4 linked regions of the Oryzias latipes genome follow. The protein of the gene in region 4 interacts with the protein of the main gene of each other region in a biochemical or structural test. Links are inferred from orthologs where the notes say so. Each region holds a gene or a part of one and is shown on either strand. Other genes may lie near its edges.

What was found.
Region 1: the proteins of nup62 (region 4) and kpnb1 form a complex in vitro, tested with the Homo sapiens proteins (2 studies listed by BioGRID). The link is inferred for Oryzias latipes from reciprocal best matches to the Homo sapiens genes NUP62 and KPNB1.
Region 2: the proteins of nup62 (region 4) and nutf2 form a complex in vitro, tested with the Homo sapiens proteins (3 studies listed by BioGRID). The link is inferred for Oryzias latipes from reciprocal best matches to the Homo sapiens genes NUP62 and NUTF2.
Region 3: of the proteins of nup62 (region 4) and ogt, one has a biochemical effect on the other in vitro, tested with the Homo sapiens proteins (2 studies listed by BioGRID). The link is inferred for Oryzias latipes from reciprocal best matches to the Homo sapiens genes NUP62 and OGT.

The regions. Positions count from the first base shown.
Region 1 is NC_019866.2:166,603-171,611, reverse strand, and holds the end of kpnb1 (importin subunit beta-1), read left to right. Parts: intron 1-499; coding exon 500-630; intron 631-722; coding exon 723-870; intron 871-951; coding exon 952-1,023; intron 1,024-1,667; coding exon 1,668-1,812; intron 1,813-1,876; coding exon 1,877-1,959; intron 1,960-2,032; coding exon 2,033-2,140; intron 2,141-2,213; coding exon 2,214-2,357; intron 2,358-2,435; coding exon 2,436-2,541; intron 2,542-2,583; exon of another isoform or gene 2,584-2,721; intron 2,722-2,800; coding exon 2,801-2,915; intron 2,916-3,632; coding exon 3,633-3,794; intron 3,795-3,866; coding exon 3,867-3,867; 3' UTR 3,868-4,804; downstream 4,805-5,009.
Region 2 is NC_019864.2:24,336,941-24,342,523, forward strand, and holds the start of nutf2 (nuclear transport factor 2), read left to right. Parts: upstream 1-2,262; 5' UTR 2,263-2,366; intron 2,367-2,388; exon of another isoform or gene 2,389-2,544; intron 2,545-3,576; 5' UTR 3,577-3,587; coding exon 3,588-3,686; intron 3,687-5,583. Other genes in the region: tsnaxip1 (translin-associated factor X-interacting protein 1), read left to right, coding at 156-289, 442-555, 1,001-1,084. UniProt on the Homo sapiens protein: Mediates the import of GDP-bound RAN from the cytoplasm into the nucleus which is essential for the function of RAN in cargo receptor-mediated nucleocytoplasmic transport.
Region 3 is NC_019868.2:18,365,394-18,370,916, forward strand, and holds the start of ogt (UDP-N-acetylglucosamine--peptide N-acetylglucosaminyltransferase 110 kDa subunit), read left to right. Parts: upstream 1-2,056; 5' UTR 2,057-2,382; coding exon 2,383-2,419; intron 2,420-3,735; coding exon 3,736-3,916; intron 3,917-5,523. UniProt on the Homo sapiens protein: Catalyzes the transfer of a single N-acetylglucosamine from UDP-GlcNAc to a serine or threonine residue in cytoplasmic and nuclear proteins resulting in their modification with a beta-linked N-acetylglucosamine (O-GlcNAc).
Region 4 is NC_019879.2:22,073,292-22,078,766, reverse strand, and holds nup62 (nuclear pore glycoprotein p62), read left to right. Parts: upstream 1-2,185; 5' UTR 2,186-2,501; coding exon 2,502-4,004; intron 4,005-4,098; coding exon 4,099-4,257; 3' UTR 4,258-4,411; downstream 4,412-5,475. Other genes in the region: pdk1 (pyruvate dehydrogenase (acetyl-transferring) kinase isozyme 1, mitochondrial), read right to left, coding at 489-673, 749-820, 899-1,040, 1,184-1,292; itga6 (integrin alpha-6), read right to left, coding at 5,360-5,475. UniProt on the Homo sapiens protein: Essential component of the nuclear pore complex. The N-terminal is probably involved in nucleocytoplasmic transport.

The sequences.
Region 1 (5,009 bases), on a different chromosome or scaffold from region 4:
TCAGCGGGGGGGGGTATTACTGTTCTCCTTGCAGCGTAACGTTACGTGTCTGTATAAACAGAGGCGGAGCCTCCTGCCCCACGTTCTTCATGGCTACCGGAAAGGTGACAAAGTGTCTGCAGTCTGTTTATTACTGGAATATATAGAATATTCTGAGAAGATGTCTGAACCAGAGAGCACAGGTGAAGCCTCACCTGCAGCTAGAGAGCAGAAGAATCCACACACACCCCCAACACACGTGTGCTCCTTCCTCCAACACACACACACACACAGTCATTGTACAACACCTATATGGTTAGTTCCTTAGATAGTTAGTAGTTAGTTGTGACTGTTATTCGTTAATAAAGAATCCCAAATCCTCCAGCGCCCCCTGCTGGTTCATCACAGCGGTGATCAAAAATCCCACACCATCACAGCTCTAGCGCCACACTTGCCTGGTGTGTATGCGGCTTAACGGGCGGCGCCGCTGTGAGACGCTGATGGCTTTCCACCCCCTCAGGCCTTCTCGTCTCTGGCGGAGGCGGCGTACGAAGCCACGGACGCGGCAGAGGACCAGGAGGAGCCCAGCACCTACTGCCTGTCCTCGTCCTTTGAGATCATCGTGCAGAAGCTGCTGGAGACCACCGACAGGTACCGCCTTCCTGGCCGTGCAGGAGCAGCGGTCTCAGCGGCGCTCCGTCCCGTCTGGTTGGTGTGACACAGTTGTGTGTTTGTTGTGTCAGGCCTGATGGTCATCAGAACAACCTGCGCTCGGCGGCCTACGAGGCTCTGATGGAGATCGTGAAGAACAGCGCTCAAGACTGCTACCCCGCCGTACAGAAGACCACGCTGGTCATCATGGAGCGCCTGCAGCAGGTCTTGCAGATGGAGGTAAAACTGGAACCTGGAGAAGAAATGAACAGACTCAGGAAGTCCACTGTAGTCTGTTGTGATGCAACTTCCTGTGTTTAGTCCCACATCCAGAGCACCTCGGACAGAATCCAGTTCAACGATCTGCAGTCCCTGCTCTGTGCCACGCTGCAGGTAAGACTCAGCACTTCCTGTCTCACTGTGGCGGTCTCTGGGCACTTCCTGTCTCACTGTGGCGGTCTCTGGGCGCTTCCTGTCTCACTGTGGCGGCCTTTGGGCACTTCCTGTCTCACTGAGGCGGACTCTGGGCACTTCCTGTCTCTCTGTGGCGGACTCTGGGCACTTCCTGTCTCACTGTGGCGGCCTCTGGGCACTTCCTGTCTCACTGTGGCGGCCTCTGGGCGCTTCCTGTCTCACTGTGGCGGCCTCTGGGCACTTCCTGTCTCTCTGTGGCGGTCTCCGGGGGCTTCCTGTCTCTCTGTGGCGGACTCTGGGCGCTTCCTGTCTCACTGTGGCGGCCTTTGGGCACTTCCTGTCTCACTGTGGCGGACTCTGGGCACTTCCTGTCTCACTGTGGCGGCCTCTGGGCGCTTCCTGTCTCACTGTGGCGGCCTCTGGGCACTTCCTGTCTCTCTGTGGCGGCCTCTGGGCACTTCCTGTCTCTCTGTGGCGGCCTCTGGGCGCTTCCTGTCTCACTGTGGCGGCCTCTGGGCGCTTCCTGTCTCTCTGTGGCGGTCTCCGGGGGCTTCCTGTCTCTCTGTGGCGGCCTCTGGGGGCTTCCTGTCTCACTGTGGCGGTCTCTGTGGCGCTGTTTGCAGAACGTGCTGAGGAAGGTGCAGCACCAAGACGCGTTGCAGATTTCCGACGTGGTCATGGCGTCCCTGCTGAGAATGTTCCAGAGCACGGCTGGCTCTGGCGGCGTGCAGGAGGATGCTCTGATGGCCGTTTCTACTCTGGTTGAAGGTATGTTCACGTGCACACGCCTGTGCATGTGCGTGGCGCTCCGATAACTCCTGTGTTTCTTTAGTTCTGGGCAGTGACTTTCAGAAGTACATGGAGGCTTTCAAGCCCTTCCTCGCCATCGGACTGAAGAACTACGCTGAATACCAGGTGAGCCCGCCTCTCGGACGCTCTTGGGGGTGAAGGGTGAGGACGGCCTGAGCGTCATGTGACCTCGTTGCAGGTGTGCCTGGCGGCTGTGGGGCTGGTGTGCGACCTGTGCAGAGCTCTGACCTCCAACATCCTGCTTTACTGTGACGAGATCATGCAGCTGCTGTTGGAGAACCTCGGGGTGAGCTGAGACGCCACCGCTCTTCCCAGACAGGAAGTGGGTTCCCGCCCTCATTGGGGGTGTGTGTGTGCAGAACGAGAACGTGCACCGATCCGTGAAGCCTCAGATCCTCTCGGCGTTTGGAGACATCGCTCTGGCAATCGGTGGAGAGTTCAAGAAGTATCTGGACATCGTGTTGGACACCCTGCAGCAGGCCTCGCAGGCGCAGGTGGACAAGGTCAGGAGCGTGCACGTGTGTGACCTGCAGCACACCTGCTGACATGCACAGGTGAGATGACGATGACTTGTGTTTCAGACGGACTACGACATGGTGGACTACCTGAACGAGCTGAGGGAGGGCTGCCTGGAGGCCTACACCGGCATCATCCAGGGCCTGAAGGGCGACCAGGAGAACGTGCACCGTAAGAGCGCGCTCGCACACCCCTTTGGTCACATGACAGCAGCGACGGCGGTTCCTCTTCCTGTCTGAAGTCAAGCAGGAGGATTTTACGCCGTCGCAGAGAACTGTGGGTCTTTTCACCCAGAAAGCTGCAGGTGGAGCCCGCCAACACGGCTCTCTGGTTTTGTGGGACCCCACAAACATGTAAACAAAGATGTAAACAATCCAAGCCAGACGTAAACAACAGATGTAAGCAGATGCTCCGCCCTCTTGTTCTGCAGCGGACGTCATGCTGGTGCAGCCCCGGGTGGAGTTCATCCTGTCCTTCATCCACCACATCGCCGAGGATGAGGATCACTCTGACGGAGTGGTGGCCAATGCTGCCGGCCTGATCGGGTGAGGGGCGGGGCTAGAAGGAAATGAGGCGTCTAACAACCTGGCTCCAGGCTAAATTGGAGTTGAATTGTTCTGAAACATTTTCTTAAATCCTTCAATGTACCGTCTATAAATCAGTAAAGAGGCTGTTATAAGCAGCCGCAGGAAATACTGGAATGACAGAAACGACCAGAAGATGCTGCTGCTGCAGATGCAGCTGCTGCAGCTTCTGCAGCTGCTGCAGATGCAGCTGCTGCAGATGCTGCTGCATTCACTTGAATGCAGCAGCATCAGCAGCAGCTGCAGCTGCTGCAGATGCAGCTGCTGCAGATGCTGCTGCAGCAGCTGCTGCAGATGCTGCTGCAGATGCTGCTGCAGATGCTGCTGCATTCACTTGAATGCGATGCTGCATTTCCCGCCGTTGTCGTGTGTAGAAAATCTACCTGCACGAACAAGTGGGGTTTGAACAGACCCTACTTCCTGTTTGTGCGGGGGCCTTGCTACATTTGTTGGGACCAAAGACCTGGTGGGTGGCACTGGGTCTGACCATGGACGGTTTCCGAGAACTGGACTGAGTGACTCCTCCCCCTGGCGTTCCAAACAGGAAGTAGCTGCAAAATCCCACAGACCTCTAGAGAGAAATAAACAGCGGTGACTCTGTCATTCTATTGGTCGGTATGGCTGTAGCATGTTGACTCTCACAGTAAAAGCCTCAGCATGGTCACTTGTCTGTCGCAGCGACCTGTGCACGGCGTTTGGAAAAGACGTGATGAAGCTGGTGGAGGTGCGCCCGCTCATCAACGACCTGCTGACGGAGGGCCGGCGCTCCAAAACCAACAAGACCAAGATGCTGGCCACCTGGGCCACCAAGGAGCTGCGCAAGCTGAAGAGCCAGGCCTGGTGAGCGTCCGACCTCTGACCCCGCCCTGCTGCGCTGCAGCGGCGAGTTCACGTGTGTCTGTGTGGTTGCAGATGGGGGGCATTCGTGACATCAGAGAAGCTTAAGGATGAACGGCGCCGGACGAGCGTGTTGGAGCGCCGCCGGCTGCAGTGAGATGAGTGTCTGTGTGAGCGCGATGATGACATCACCACCTCCAGTTCCAGCAGGCCACACCCCCACCACCCCTCCCCCTCCCCCTCGGACAGCCTGCCGACTGGACTCTATCCCCGCCCCTGCAACAAACCCGCCCCTCTGCTCGTTTTCTAGCTGGACCCCATATGACATCATGATGATGTCACCGGCCCACTGCTCCCAGCAGCAGGGTGGGGGGGGTGGGGGGCTGGACCACTCTGGACTTCTGGGTTTTTGTCGCTCTTCTTTTTCTTCTTCTGAGCGCGGTCGTGTGCTCAGACCCCGCCCCCGCCAACAGCAGCACTAACCCGTACAGGTGAACGCAGAGGAGCAAGTGCCAAAGGAACGCGGCGGCGGTGGCGGCCGGACTGGAGCTTCAGCCCCGCCCCTGCTGCTCGTGGGAGCAGTCCCTCAGCGTTTGTGCGCGTTGACACGATTTCAGAGAATTGAAGACGTTTGTAAAGGTTCTATTTTTCCATTGCTGTTAAAAATAAAATGTTATCAAACATTCCCGAGCAGTGCTGTGATTCTGGCTTCCTGCGGTCCACGCCCCCCCCACTGGACTTTGGAAGCTGGACTCCGGACGCCCTAAGGACTTTTTTTAGTCTACTGTTGGGGGGCCGTTGCGGTCTGGGTAGAGCTGTCTGGATCCTGTGGTTTTACCATCAGTGTTCAAGCTGCACTTGTGTGGGCTTTTATTTTGAAAAGATGCTGCAGCTGTAGGGAGAATGCACTTCCTGTGTACGTGAACCACATGCTGGATTGTTGCATTGTGAATCACTTGAAGCCAGTCTTCTTTTCAACTTTAGTGAACTAATAAAGTCTATATTGTTCTGAAGTTCTGCTTCTGTCGTCGTGATGAAGACGCTGGTGGACCTGAAGGTCGGCGACTTCCTGGAGTCTGAGGCTGTTCATTAAAGCACATCTGAAGTGTGGTTCCGTTTGGGAACCACAGACTCTGCTGGGCCACCAGAACCGAGTGAGGATCCAGGAGATCCTGACGGAGGCCAGCCGGGCCGGTGAGGCTCCACCTTCTGAAGTGT
Region 2 (5,583 bases), on a different chromosome or scaffold from region 4:
CTAAAACAAGAATAGACGCAAAGCCTTAATGATCTAATCTTTTCTTTTTTCTGCCAGTTTCCTAAATGACCCAGCCCAAACCTGCCTCTGTTCAACCGAATGAATTGGACTCAGTTGATAAAATGTGGTTTCATTTTGAATTTGCTTCATGAAAGATTTTCAGGGGTTGGAGCTGGAACTCGAGGCATGTCGTGAGGAGCTCACCAGGATCAAAGCAGAGTATCGGGATGCAGTTCCACAACACGACTGGGATGCCCTGCAACAAACCCACCAGCGGACTGTTCTGCAGGTTCTGGGTCTTCACTATCCCTCACTTCCAAACCTTTACACACAAAAATTATGTTTTATGAAATTAGAACTCTTAATTTTCTGACTTTAGAACCCATTAACATGGATAGTTTTTACATCCTAAATCCTAATCAAGTTTGTTGCGTTGTCCAGCTAAAGACTCTGCAGGGTGACTTCAAGTTGATAAAGAGTGAATACGATACCCTGCTGGAACTCCATAAAAGTGGCAACTTGCAGCCCAAGAACCAGGTGTCAACCTCTGTGCAGGTAATGTGCTTTATCGGCTCTTGTCTGGTTTGTCTGGTTAAATCTCAGCAGGTTCAATCTGATTCAAACCAAACTTCCCTTAAAAAATCATGTAGTTCAAACAGTTCCTTATCTGGGGCGGTGATTATTATCCTATAAAAGCTCTAACAAGGAGGAAAAATGTAGAAATAGGGGCCATAACTTGTCCCCTGCTCTACTCCAAATGCACATGGCGTTTAGCCTTGGCTTCCCTTTGTTCACTTCAGCTCTTTGGTTCATTGGAAATCCTCAGCAGATGAACTAAAATCCTTGTTACTATGCCAACCGTGGTTCTGGTGATCTTTGACACCTGTCAAACAAACTGGACCATCAGTGGAAATGTACAGATCAAGCTTGCCAGTGTGAGTGCACTTTTTCAACAAAATGTTCTTCTTAAAGCTCAAACCAGTGGTTTGTTCTTTTCCAGACGGAGGTTCATGTGGATGAAGAACAGGAAACCAAACCAGAACAGCTCAATAAGCTGATCAACCTCCATGACCACAAGGAGTAGCAGGCTCATGAGTTCAAATTACATCAATATATTCACACAATTTAAACACACACAGTGTGTTGCTTCAGAGGGGCGTGAAATCTATGCCATGCCTTTTGTAATTGTTTATTATCTTATCTTAATTTCTTTTTTTTTTTTTTGCTTTCGGAGTCTCTTCTTATCCACAAGTCCTGCATCATACATACACTTTTCATTTCTATTTAGCACAGCTCAGAAGTACTGATTAAAATGACTTTTTGCAATTTGATTATTGAATTCTATCTTTGCACTGCAACCAAAATATGATTTTTAAGAACCGAAAATAGTTTTACAAGAGTGAATTTAAACACTAACAGCATGGTGTGTCTCAAAAACCAGAGAAACTGAAAACATTTTCCTAATAAAATCAAATGTATATACAAAATTGTTCCAAATGTTTCCTGGGGCCCAGGACACAACTGTTACATCCCACCAGCCCACTGAACAGCAATAACTGGCTCCCTATTGGTTTCCTAAACCCACATTACGACCACACTCAAATTCCTGAGCAATGTTTTAAACTAAGTTAATGATAAAAAAAGAAAAATTAGGGGTATTTCAGGAATTTTTGTGGGTTTTAGGCTGACTCCGTGGCTCTCACCATACCATCCACTAACTCCTAGTTTTCTGTCTTACTACTTTATGATGTAACATTTAGATATCAGTTGTTTTATGTAATTCATGTTCATAAATTTGGACAGAAGATTAATTGTGACTTTTGTAAACAAAACAAAAAAACAACAACAAAAAACACTGATATATTTAAATTGTAAATTTTGATTTTCTGACTTTGGGTAAAGAAATATTTTTAACTATTACTCTTTGACATCTATATACAGGTATCCCTATTGTTAGTGTGTTAAAAAATGAAAATACTTAAGACATTTCCACTCCCTTTTTTAAATTCCTATTTGGGTTTTTTTTAATTCACGGTCTGACCAAACTGTTAATTCTTATTTAGAGAAAGTGGGACACTCAGTGCTAGAAAAAAAAGACATTTCTGTGCCTCTCAGTTCTGGGAATGATGGATTAAAATAGCTCAAAAATTATTATTTTTAACAAACTAGTGGTTTTTGATGTTTCCTATCTTGTATCATAACTGTTTGGTCGGCGTAATTTTGGAAAACAACGGGCACTTGCTTTTAATTCTAATTTACTACAGTCCCCACAATACACCGGGGCATTTACGGCTCTGTACGTGCTCTCGTAACGTAGAAGATATCGAACTGTACCATCACGCAGCCGGGGTCGGCGACAGTGAGAGGTAAGTTTGCAGTACTTGTGTGCACATTAGTGAATGGAAACTCTTGCGAAACTAAACATTTGCAGTTTGGATGAAGGTTTGAGGAAAGTTCGCGATGTCTTTGTACTTCCACGCGCCGTCTCTTTGGGGCCAACGGACGGCGGACACTCCTGTGTGTGTCGTCTCGCCACTCCTGCTGGTGGGTGTTCCAAAAATATGTGCGCGGGCCCACAGGAGAAATCAGCACAGTGCTGACAGATATTTTTAGAAGCCGGTGAGAAGGCCTGTCGGTCTGTCAGGGAGACAGCGAGGCAGCCACCGCCTGAGAGAATAATTTCTCTACTGGCTAACATTAGCACCCGTTGAGTTAGCAAACAAGCTAGCAGCGGCTTCCTCATTATGCTATCTTTAAATACGAACTTTTCTACTGTTGTAGCATTTGTTTCTCTAAGTAGTATTTTATTCCTTCACTGTGCTGTCCTCTTTGTGTAAGGGGGTGTGCACTTTCTGCAGTCTCGTGCCCACCCGGGTTTTTCTTTGCTAATGTTTAGCTAGCATAGATCGTTCCAGCAACAACCGTGCGCCGTTATGAAGGAGCACGTGACCAGTGCTGTCATTTCCGCGGTGGGACCCGATAGGTGGCGCTCAATCAAACAAACATTCACCGGCCACTTTATATGTACAACCGTGACAGCATTATGCATTTACGAGATTTTAATTTGTTTTGTGGGAGATAGAAAAAATTCACAGCGGTAATTAAGTGATGACACTACCTCGAAAACAGTAGAGCATCAGTGGGAAGTGGCCTCCCCAAAAAACAGCTGACTCCACTTGAGAATTTCCCACTTCCTTATTTGTTTGCATCTATTATTCATTATTCTAACTAACATTTCACCAATTATCATGTCTAAATAAACATGTATGAATAAATCTCATCAGGGGGAAAAAAACAGCTCTTTTAGACAGGAGCGACAAGTTTCTGTTACAATGACATTTACTGTTGTGCATTAGATGAAAAGAAAAGATCTATCAACAAAGTTAAAGAATAAAAAATCTAATTAGTCACTGAATACTCGCGTAGAACGACTAGCAGAATGTCTTTCTGCCTCCTAGAAATTAAGCTGGGAGTTGGATCCACAAAAGAAGAGTCTGCTAGCTGAAGTCTCTGACTCCATTCTGGTTTTGGAAACTTTAAGAATGACCAGTAATCATCATCCCTGTTGTGTTGCAGGGTGATTCAGGATGGTGGACCAGCCTCTGTGGGAGCAGATAGGATCCAGCTTCGTGCAGCACTACTACCAGATGTTTGACTCTGATAGGTCGCTGCTCGGATCCATATATGTGGGTGTTTCTGTGTTTGTTGCTGTGTGTTTTCCTTAACTAAATCAACAATTTGTGAAATACTTAAACCTATGCTAGGGTTTTCCATGCAAAGATGAATAAATAAGAATGATGCACAAACATTAAGCATATGGAAACTTCAGCTCTTAATGCTACCTTTTTGTAATTCTCACTTTTTTTCAAAACTTAGTGGTTTATGACTGAACATATTTGTGATGGTAAAAGGCACTGTGGTTTTGTTAGTTGGGTTATGTTTGACGTCTAAAAATATAATTGTATCTGATCTGTAGCCAGATGTTCAGTGAATAGCAAAGCTACACCTTTAGATATTTACATCTCTCTATTAATAAGAGATCTGGTCTTGTACACGATGACATCAATGTCAGTGACTGTTCATTGGTCAACAGTCATGTGACTGCATGCCTTTCATACACACCCACTACTGCCTGAAAAGTATACAAGTAACACAAGGAATATTTGAGAACAGTCATTCCACGTGTGTTTGTTTTGTTTACAGTAAACTAAAAAGGATCCTCTTAATAAATAAAAAAAATTAGAAACTGTTTCGTTAATCTACTGCACATAAATCATTTAGACTTACGCAGAACTATCTAGAATACTGGAAACGGCCATAGAAGAAGAAATGGAGAGTTTCGTTGTAAACAAAGCTGTGGCATAGAGCGAGTTAATCTTCTAAACATGCTTTTATTATTGTTATGATTATTATTAAGTACCTGTTCGCTCCTAATTTTCTAAATGTGTGTGGCCAGTGCTTTATTGCTGGCTGCACGGAACCGGTGTAGGTACCACAACCGTTCGGCCTGGAACTTCCGTTCGGGGTCCTTTCGACTAATGGTAATGTCACACTACGGTAACCCCACTTAGACAAACTTTGTAGCGTCGACATCTGCTCGGGCTTTACAAATTTTCATTTCACGTTCCATTTTGTAACCTAAAGTTATTTTCCCTCATAAATCGTATCGGACAATATTCTTTGTAATTTTTATAAAGACATGTTGCCACAATCCACTTGTTATTCCAGTTTAAGTTCAGCCGTGGCTGAAAATGTTGCCGGCACGGCTAAATGTTCTTCCGGGACCGCTCTGCCAATGATAAAGCACTGGGCGCACGGAAAAAAAAACTATAAGCAAACACGCATTCAATAATAATCATAACAATAATAAAGGCACGTTTAGAAGAGAATTTCGCTTTATGTCGGAGCGCTGTTTGTTTACAACAGACTTCATAATATTTTCTTCTATGGTAGTATCGTAATTTGTCAAGACCAATGACTATCTGACACGTCATCGGACCAACCTTCAGCCAATCGCATAATGTGACATCAGCATTAGTCCGAGGACCCCGAACGGAAGTTCCAGGCCTAACGGTTCTGGTACCGGAAGAACGGTTATGGTACCTACACCAGAAGAAGAAGGGTTAGGATTGGGCTAATACGTACTAACAACATTTAGCCGTGGATGAACTTGAAAACTCTGTGCGGGCAATGCCGCAATGGGCATCTTGGCTGCATGTAAATATGTGGGAATAACATCCGCCTTTATTTTGTCTGGACATGATTGGAAACACAAATTCACATGATTGTTTATACGGTTTCTCAGGACTGTGTGGAGTTGCATTTCTGCATTCAAAAGCTGCCTCCGCCAGTTCACACATCGTTCCAAAGCCACTCCTCTCCTCAGAGACACCGTTCTCCCAGGAGACACTGTTCTCCTGGGTCAGTCTGCTTGCTCACAAAGAACAGCCAGACGGACTGCGGTCCGAAGCCTCCTCCGGAGCGCACACCCTGACACCTAACCACCTGCTCGCAAACAAGAAGCTATGAGTCGGTCCGTCCTGTTCGCGCTCCAAAGCATCCTCTGGAGTGGCACACTGTTTA
Region 3 (5,523 bases), on a different chromosome or scaffold from region 4:
TTCAGGTAGACCCGCATGGGCCCTTTTCAGAAACATGTGATAATCAAAGACAAACAGAGAAACATGTGCCTGTTCTCGACACAACAAGAACACAAACGTATGTGGAAAACTTGATAGAAATCAGGTTCTGTGAGAACTGCTGTGTTGCACATCCGGGTTTGTTTTGCAAACAGACACGCCCTCGATCAGAAATGAAGGGAAGGCAGCTAAAGCAGGAGAAACAAGGAAGCAAAGGAAGAGCTGCTGATGAAGCCACATTCTAAGACACATTTTATTTATTTTCACTTTTGATCATCACATTTTTTTGGCAGTTATGTTTGCTTCAGGAAATTATCTTTTTGCTTCCTACTTTCGACTGTGTCGAGAGTTTGTAATACATACTTATGTTTAAAGAGATAGATTGACTGTAATAACATTTTAAAATTAAGAAATGTAAACCTTAGTTTTAGAGAAAATTTAACCCAGATATTTCCATTTTACTTAAGTAGATTTATAATAAATAAAAAAACAGCATTCTGATTTGTTTGTCTTGTTCCAATAATGGCAAAATATTGGTATAAGTATTCATTTGTATTAACAATGAATCATGAAAATTTGATCCAATATTTTACTTTAAAACTAATATTCAGAATCATTAATGCCTTATTTGACATTGTATTCCTGCAACAAAATTTGAGTAGCTACTCCTTAAATAGTGCTTTTGAAAAAAAAAAAGCATTTTTTGTATTCATTCATACATGTACATGCACACTTAAAAAAACCAACAAAAATGGTGCATGCATGCATAGGAGCATAGATTAAAACAGTAGAGAAAAAAGGGTAAACAGTAGATTTTAAAATTTGCAGTAAACTGGTTTATTTGCAAATTTATGACAGATCACAGCATCAGCACACCAGCAACATTTTTAATATGTCAGAAACAGGAGTTTGTTTGTTTTTTTATCTTAAATGTACATTTGCTGTTTGCAAAAACAGGGTTAAAAAACATTTGGTTAAAACAAAAACTAATTAATTTAAACATAATTAAGAAAAGAAAAACAAGGGTTTATGTTTGGATATCAATGTTGGCAAAACATATTAAGGAAAAACATTAAATATTGGCAAAAAATAAGATGTGTTAGAAGATGTCGATTAATCTTGCAGGAAAATTGCTTGGTTGAAAAAAACCATAAACATACTGCAAGTCCTAGAAATATTTTAAAAAGAAATAGAAATAAAGTTGTTTAAGCTCGGGACTTGAAGATTAGAAGAATAGTTATTCTGGTGCAAACACATCCTGTCAGTGATGTTCAATGTAAACTGAGCCTGTTGGCAACTTCCTTCACATAGCAATTGATGTTGATTTAACCAGAACTCTATCCATCAGGCTACAGTTTAAAAAAAAATCAGTTGACAAAATATATGTAACTAGTAAGGATTAGTAAACAGTATTTATGTGGAAAGATATTTAACAGTAGATTGTACATTTAATGCTTGCTTTACACATTAAGAAAATACCCTTTGCAGTTAAAAATAAAATAAAAGCTAACACCTGTTAAATGTCCCTGGAATTACAAATCTTATCTGAACTTCTTTTGTGTGTATTTGAATATGTTTTTTGTGTGTGTCTATATATATAAAAACTACAAGAAGAACTAAAATAAAATAAAAAGATAAATAAAACTACAAGAAGAACTAAAAGAAAATAAAAAGAAATCAAACAACCCACGGTTATGTAATGTTGATGTGTTTGTTACTAGACCAGCGCACCTTCCACTTCCTCGCAGCACAGCTGACACGTGACTCTTTCAGATACCTCCGAGCAGTGCTGCTTCCTTTTACCGTTTGAGTCTCACTGCACCATTGTATTCTTCCGCGTGGTTTTACCTTAAGTGTATAATTTTACATCAGGTTATATATATGTATATGTATAACTTCTTAATACAATAAAAATAATAATGTATATTGGGTTTATAGTCACATGTATTAATGCCCAACTATTATTTTCAATCAATGCCGGTGTCAGGATCTAGTTGATCACAAAAACGAGTTCCACCCAATTCGCCATTTTACGTTCACTAGCTGCTTTGTTGTGCAGATAGAATATCGTGAACGGTAGCGGTATATTTTTTATGTCATATGTAGGTGCAGTAACTACATTATCTGTGTAAATATACCCAAACAGCGGCATTTTAAGGTAGGGCTTTAGGAAATTTATTCTGAATACGAGATTAGTAGGTAACTATAACCCGGTCTACCTAGCCAGACAACAACGTGCTTTCAGTTTTCGTCTCAGAAAGACCACAGTTAGTTATAAGAAATACATCTATTTTTCTCTGAAGCTGTGAGCTCCCAGACGACACATTGACGACCGCCGTGCAAGAAACGAAGACTGCTGGGGAGATGGCGAGTTCTGTGGGAAACGTGGCAGACAGTACAGGTTAGTGGCTCAAAAAAATAAAAGCACCTCCTTTAGAAAGAAGCAACGATTTAAAATAGTTTTTAAAAGTAAATTTTAATCTAACAATGACCCTTTTGGTAATCCACAGCAATAAGGTAAATGAGGATGCTAGTATGTAAACCAGTAGCGCCGCTCTTCTAACACCACGGTACCAATTTATATGTATTAATAGATATATTATAATAAGGCTATTTTATTATATTTTTCGCCAATTTGTACCGAATATTCCTTCATTTGGCGTCTTAACCTAAACAGTATTAAGTCAAGACGAGCTAGCGTTGGTATTTGTAGATGTGACGTTTAAATGGGTAGGAAACGATTAAATCTTTGGCGCTGCAACATTTTTCCTCCTTGGGCGTCACTATGTTCATACATTTTATTTTTTTAAATCCTAAACTGAACATTTATCTCGTGGTTTTTGTCTGAGAAAATGGCCGCCAGCTAAGGGGCGTTTCGGTTTGCAATAAAGGGCGCTGAAATGAAGTGTCCTACTAAAATGCCTTCAAAGATATCTTATTTTTTAATTCATTTTTTTTTGGGAGGGACGGCGAATGTTAGGGATATATGTTTTTCAAAATTAGAAAATGACGAACAAGCTCAGTTTTAACGATAAACTAACTTTAACGCGATTATTAGCAGATTTTGCGTGCGTTGTGGTGCAGTTTTTTTCCACACACCCCACCCCCACAATAAAGACCCACTTCGATGAAAATCGTGTTTTTAACTTGTTCGTGTAGCATTTTTCTTATAATGGATGATATGTAAAGAAATTTAAGATTAAAATTCAATCGTGAATTAGCAGCAGCAGATGATAAAAATGCTGTTGGAAAAAGCTTGTAGCAGTGACGTAGATGCTACAGTAGGTGGAGCCACAATCTCCCTGTTCTCTATCAAGATGCACCTGTTTGATGACGAATAGACTTAATAACGTTTTCGTTTACTCTGCATTTTGGAAAAGCTAGTCTGACATATAAATTATGCGTTTCCTTAGTTGGAAAAAAGCGTCAGTGTGCATTTTTTATATACATTAAATTGTAATTAATTTATATGTACAGATGCTTATAGTTTGTATAAAAGTTGTGAAGTGTCCCCCTTATGTTCCCTCTTGTGACGTCATCATTTTTACCCATTATCACATTTTGAAGTTACATTTGTCAGGCATTTATTTTAATACAAACATTGTCATGTTTGCTTCTATTTTTATTTCTTCCTGTTTTTTCATTTGTCGTCTTTATTTTCTTTCATCACCTCTAACATGTCGTTTCCCCCCTCCTTGGCCTGTGTTGGTTGTCCAGAACCAACAAAACGTATGCTTTCCTTCCAAGGGTTGGCTGAGCTTGCACACCGGGAGTATCAGTCAGGAGATTTTGAGGCGGCCGAGCGCCACTGCATGCAGCTGTGGAGGCAGGAGCCTGATAATACTGGAGTGTTATTGCTGCTGTCCTCCATTCACTTCCAGTGCAGAAGACTTGACAGGTGAGAACACTTTATACAGGCTGGCAAATGAGAGCAGCAGAATGGAAGGGCTTTACAAATGAAAGGATCAAGAAATGGTATTTCCAACACTTTCTTTATTGTTAGAAGAAACCAGCCGTTTTTTAGCTGAGGTGCTATTTCTACTTCTTAAAGAGGCCTCTATTGATGATTCCCTAATCCTTTGACACCTGAATTTATTTCCAGTTATGAAAACATGTTTTTGTTTTCAAGTAGATGCTAAATAAAATTGAGATGGTAAATTTGACAAGAACACATAAAATAGATATGATTTTAGGTAAGTCACAAATCATCGACAATCAGCATCTACCATACTGTTTCCAGTATAGAGAATTTTAATCATGCAACACATTTATTCCTAGTATTTTCACTCTAATCACCGACAGAACTGATAAACCTTGAACTAAAGTCAACACAAAGCTTATTGTAATTGGCCTCCCCAGCCTTATTTTAATTAACAATAAATTGTCTCAAAACTTTAGAGTGAAGTCTTTTGCCTCTTTATTCAGTACATATTTAACTTCCAAATTTACTCAAATTGTAATAACTGTAATGACTATTTTTCTTATAAAAAACCTAGATTAACTGATCTAAATGTTTTGAAATTATTGTTAACTCGTTTGAAGTAGCACAAGCAGTTTTGTTTGTCTGGACGATTGTATTTTATTTTTCTACAGCTTCTGCAAACATAGAAGGGACATTTTTTGATCATATGGCAGACTTTGAGGCAGTTTTATTCCAGTTGAAAGCACAGGCCAACTCTACATTTGTCACAAATCTGAGGGGTGCTTCTTTTGTAGAAAACACTCCTTTTTTATATCCACTCTCATTAGAAGAAAGTCAGAATGCAGACAGCATGATGTAAATTAGGCCTGCACAATAAGTCACAAATGTATCATTATTGCGATATCAAGCTGTGCAATACGCGTATAGCAAAAGACCGCAAAATTGCAATGAATGGTAATCTTAAATGTGCTAAAACAGTCTTATGGCAGCCTGAAGTATGTAACGAATCAAAAAAATCCCTTAATGCATTTGACCAATCGGATCTGTTATGTTAGATGTTGGCCTCCTATGTAGACTACGTTTAACTCTTATTTAAATTAAACTGTACCAGTGAACTGGGAATTGTTTTTGGTTGTTTTTCCATTTTTTTATGTATCGTAAGTTATGTCATCGTCATGATATTGATCACTAATACCGCATATTGCGAGTGTTCCTCATTTTGTGCTGCCCTAATGTAAATCAATGACAAATCTGTATGATTTGTGTAACACAAACAATGCAAGTAGCATGTTTGCTGAAATACATCTTTGTTGGTACAGATATGCAGCAATGCAATAAAAGTAAATAAAAAAATCGGAGTACCACAGAAACATGACAGCAATAGTTAAAATTACACTTTTCTGGTAAATCTAATCCTTGGCACTTTTTTGTACATAAATGTTTTACTTGCATGCGGGATGAAGACCGTCCTGCATCTCCTGATTTTCCAACTCCTCTTCTTTCAAAGTTCTGACAAGAGTTTTGCTCTGGTTGAATTCCTAGACATTTTTTCACAATAATAACTTATATTTACAACATAAATT
Region 4 (5,475 bases):
AAAGCTTGAAATAAAAAGGAACTCATTAAAAAAAAGAAGGTAAGGTTCTTCCGTTTTTTTTTTTAACACAAGCGATGCTAGAAAAAGTAAAAGAATTGACATCCACTAAAACAAAATTCTAACTTAAGCTCAAACCGTACATGGACCTTGAAGATTAAAACACTAAAAAACAAATCTGTTTCCTTTTTTGTTGGCTATGAAATGTGTGTTTGCTATATTATCTCTATTTTTTGTTTGTGGATCCATGAAGAAAGACTTTTTTAGTCATTTTAATAAAAATGTCAGTCATCATGGTGTCAGATAAGCCCCACTTTTTCTCTGAATTCTGACTTTTTGTTTTCCCTGGTTGATGTTTCGTCAGTTTTGATTATTTTATGCTTTTCTAGTCTTTGTTTTCCCCCTTCATTTGAATTCACTTCCACGTGCTTTTGAGCAATACAGCAATGAGGTGAACACCTAAGAGTTCTGTTAGCAAATGTTTCACTCACTGTGCTGGTTCAGCAGCATCCTGATGGATATTCTACTCATGTAAAACCGATCCAGAAAATACTGAACGTTCTGGCTGACGACTGGGTCGGTGCCGTAGGTTTCCTTATACTCCACGACGCCTTGAGCCATGGTGGGAATCACATCGTTGTGGCGGTTTCGGATTTTGATGACTGCATCTGTGAACCTGATCAAAAACCCGTTACAGGTTGAATGTGTAAAACCAGACTGTAGAACTGGTCCACTAGTAAAAACGACTCACTCATGTGTGACTTTTTCATTGTCTGCATTTTTGTCCTTGAATTTAAGGATGTCCTGGAAACTTTGCATATACCTAGGGATGGAAAATATCCATAAACGTGTGTGCAAACAGAAAACTCATAGGAAAATATTAATAAAAACAAAAGCACACCAGCTTTGGACCAAGCTAACTGATGAAGTTCTCAGCAGATTATCTGGCAGCAAATTAATTTCCTTCATGATGTTTGCCAGCCTCACAGGGAGCTCTTGTCTGAGGAAGGCGAAGGATGTTTTCTCACATGCATTTTCAGAACCTGAAGGAAGACAAAAACATGGAGGACTTTCAAAAATACTTTAAAGTATCCTTTAAAATTCCAACCATAAGCTAGAATACACACACATAGAGAGAGGGGGAGTAAATTACAACTATATTTAAAGCATCTAAAATTCATTTTACCAAAATCCAGAAACTGCTTCATGGATAAAGGCGAAGGAGAAAACTTTGAGTAATAGTCAATGTCCTTCCCGACCGCCACGCTCTTCCTCAGGAACCTTAAAAGCCTCATGTTGCTCTCCGGCCTCGACTTGATCAGATTTCAAACACACACGACACGTCCGAATTCTTATGGCGCACGCGGCCACAACAATAAATATGTGACGCTTGTTGACACACTAGCTTGTTGGCTAAACTCAGCAGTTCGCCCGCACGTTTGCGATTATCGACCGTGTTTCCACTTGGACTGAATTCCTGCTGCAGGCATGGTCACAGACGGACTAAAGCATCATCCCTCACTTCGGACGTCCTCTGTAAAATTCAGTCAAAAGTCAACACGGCAAACGCACCCACTCCGCAGCTGAGCTAGCAAGTTCAAAGAGTTGATTCGACGCCGAGAGAACAACGCAACTATTTTGCAGTAGTCTTTATAAAATAAAGATGACAACTTTTATGCAATTTAAATAGATTATTCTTCTGCTTTTATTTTATGGTGGTTGGAATACAACTTTTGGGATGTTCGCCACCTACAAATTGATCACTTTTGGTTCCTAACCCGCATATCAGATGGGTTAGATTAGACCGCTAAAAACACCACTAATGTAGAAAGTAATACATATTTGCGTGACAAATAAAATATATGTTGTTTTACTTTAAAGCGTTTAACAACAAAACGAATTTATATAATTTTAATTATTTAGCAAAATGCAAGAGGAATTATTAACATGTAGTTCATATCTACGACACTAAAAAGTGCGTTCTGTGCATCTCTTGTCCTCTATTAACTCTTTGACTGGTTGAAATGCCGTCGCTCTGATCCCCAGTGCTTGTCTGTAAGGTTAAAAAATAAAAACCAATCAAATGTCAGCATTTTTCATTTCGGCACAGTAATTTGGTGTTAAGGATGTCAATCTAAACTAGAGGGTGGGGCTTTTTCTCTGACAGACAGAATTGAGGGCAAAATTGCATGTTGAAAGTGGCGTCACTTCCTTTAGCTACAACAGAAAGTATGCTCAAAGAAACGTTTGGTCAGTTACCCACGTTTTTTTTAAAGATGCTTCGCTAGTATTATTATATTTACCGGCACAGTGAAAGAATTAGTTATTAGACTATGATTTAAAATATCCGTGGCTAACGTAAGAAGTCCTCTCATTAGACGGTTTTTCTTCGGTGAAGCTAGTTGAACCGGCAGCTCGTGCTAGCGACCCGCCAAAAACTGTGGTGAAAGATACCATTTTGTTCGTAAGCTGTAAAGTCATTTTGTTTTTATCAGAGGAAGAACATGAGTGGCGGATTCAACTTCGGGCAACCTTCGGGTTTTGCCTTCGGAGCGCAGAAGACCACAGCGGCCGCTCCGGCCCCGGGCTTCAGTTTAACGAACTCCACGGCTGCGGCTTCGGGAACGGGCTTCTCTTTTGGCACTCCGACTCAGAGTCAGACCAACGCCAACCCGACCGGTGGCTTCAGTTTTGGCGCACCGGCTAAGAACTCTTCCGCCGGCGGCACCGGCTTCTCCTTTGGCACACCCAACGCCGCCGCCGCCACCGGCACGTTCGGCCTGGCCACGACTACCCAAACCACCGCCGCCACTGGGTTGACCTTAGGCTCCTCGGCCGCTCCAGCTGCGGGGTCCGGCTTCACCCTGGGCGGGATGTTGTCTTCGCAGACGAACAGCGCCGCTCCAGCGGGAGGGGGCTTCAACTTTGGGGCTACCTCCCAGGCCCCACCCGCAGCGACAGTTGCACCTACAACAACCACCGCATCAGGTGGCATGGCTTTCGGAGGGTTCAGCTTCGGAGCGCCGAAAGTCCAGGTGACCTCAGCTGCAAGCACAACCATCGCAGCGGGGGGAGGAGGCTTCAGCTTCGGGACCCCTGCCCCCTCCACCCTCACCCAGCCAGCCCCAGCAGCTGCAGCTCCAGCAGCTCCAACCCAGGGTGGAGGGTTTAACTTCGGAATTAAACCCTCATCAACACCAGCTCCTCCCGCATCCACCCAGTCAGCCCCCACCCAGTCAGCCCCCACCCTAGGCCTGTCTCTGTTTGCGTCACCTATCATCACAACCTCTGCAGCAGCGCCAACTTCAGGTTTTACTTTGGGTGCAGCTCCAGCGTTGTCAACCAGCATGGCAGCATCCACAGCTGCAGGTACAGCTCCATCCTTCATGCTCAAGCCTCTGGGGTCCGTTGCCAGCACAGCAGCAAACACCGGCTCCACCACCACCACAACAACTGCAGCTGTCACAGCTAATGCCACCGCAGGCTTCACGCTGGGATTCAAACCTCCGACCATCTCAAGCTCCACAACAGCCTCCACAGCAACAGCCGTTACAACCACCACCACGGCCCCTCCGGTGATGACCTACGCCCAGCTGGAGGGTCTCATAAACAAGTGGAGTCTTGAACTTCAGGACCAAGAGAGGCATTTCTTACAGCAGGCAACTCAGGTCAACGCTTGGGACAGAATGCTGGTGGAGAACGGGGAAAAGATCACGTCTCTGCATAAGGAGATGGAGAAGGTGAAGCTGGACCAGAGAAGGCTCAACCAGGAGCTCGATTTCATTCTGTCCCAGCAGAAGGAGCTGGAGGACTTGCTTTGCCCTCTGGAAGAGACTGTGAAGGAGCAGAGCGGAACCATCTACATGCAGAACGCAGACGAGGAACGCGAAAGAACATACAAGCTCGCTGAGAACGTGGACGCCCAGCTGAAGAGGATGTCACAGGACCTGAAGGAGATCATTGAGCACCTGAACACATCCAGCGGGCCGGCAGACACCAGTGATCCAGTAAGATCTGAGCCTTTTTTTTTTAAATCATATTTCTCATAAAATCAAGTCTTCTGCTGTTTTAATCGCCTTCCTTTCTTTTTGAATCCTTTAGCTTCAGCAGATTTGCAAGATCCTGAATGCTCACATGGATTCGCTGCAGTGGATCGACCAGAACTCTGTCCTGCTGCACAGAAGAGTGGAGGAAGTGTCCAAACAGTGCGACACCCAGCGCAAAGAGCAGGAGAAGACCTTTCGTCTAACCTTTGACTGATTTGTTTTTTGGCTCAGTGCTTATTTTTCCCATTTTGCTTTGGATTTTCTCCTTTATTATACTTCTATTGTGTGTTGCAAAACTATTTTAAATGCAATCATCTTTATAATTGTATCTACCTGAATAGAATGATTAAAAACAAATTTTGAACTTTTTTGTGTTTTCACATCCTAATTTTACCTGTTTTTTATCTATATTTAGGATTGAAAAACATCTAATGACAAGATTTGTTTCTTGTTCTAAGACTGATGTTACCCCTTGTGCTATCTTAGATGACCCCACCCTTACATTGACGTGTTCTCCCTACCATGACAAAGGTGGAAAGATTTCATGTAATCCATGGACACCAGTGAAGATCACAAATCATTGAAGAAAAAAGGTTCAGCGCACTGTCTAGTGGGTCTAGATGACCCCACTCCCAATGTTAAAGTGCCTAGGATAGCACAAGGGTTAATACTTGCAAGGTGGATTTTCAATTAGGATGTTTTTGCTATGACACTCGTTTGAAGGGGAATTGACTTCAGCATTTGTTTGAGTTTTGTCAAAACAATGTTTTAAACTTAATTTACGGAGAAGCTGAAGATGTTTTTTTTTTTATATAGAAAAGGAAGATTCATTAGAAATAATTCTTTAAATTGTTTTATATATGACAAAAAGAAGCAGTTACACCCATAAAAACAGTCTTTTTAGCACATTCCCTTTGGATTGAATAAAAATAAAAACAATCCGATTCAGTGATGATCTAAAGTACAGTGGATGCTACCTGAACATCACAGCAGTGAGAGATTTCAACTTGACGGGAACACAGGCGATGAGTAAAATGACATCATTCCACAGTGATGGACTTGTACCTTTGCATAGATTTGACAACAATAGCATCTCAGCTGTAAACCTGTTATTACGAACCTTTGGCACCATGTTTTTTTTTATACAAAAATAAATACAAAATGTGCAGAAACCATAAAAAACAAACAGCACATAGAAAAATATATCTGTACAGTGTCAAAATTCAAGGTACTGAAACCAGTAAATCCTGGATTTACACATTAAAAATGATGTCAGCAGAATGATTGATTATTTATCGAACAAATGATCTCAGCTTTCAAGAGTAACTTTCACTGTCCATCCATGATGTCATCCACTGCTTCTTTTCAGTAACATCAGGTTTGAGTTTTGCATCTTCACGCTCGACACTCTCCTTCCTTATCCGCACCGCGT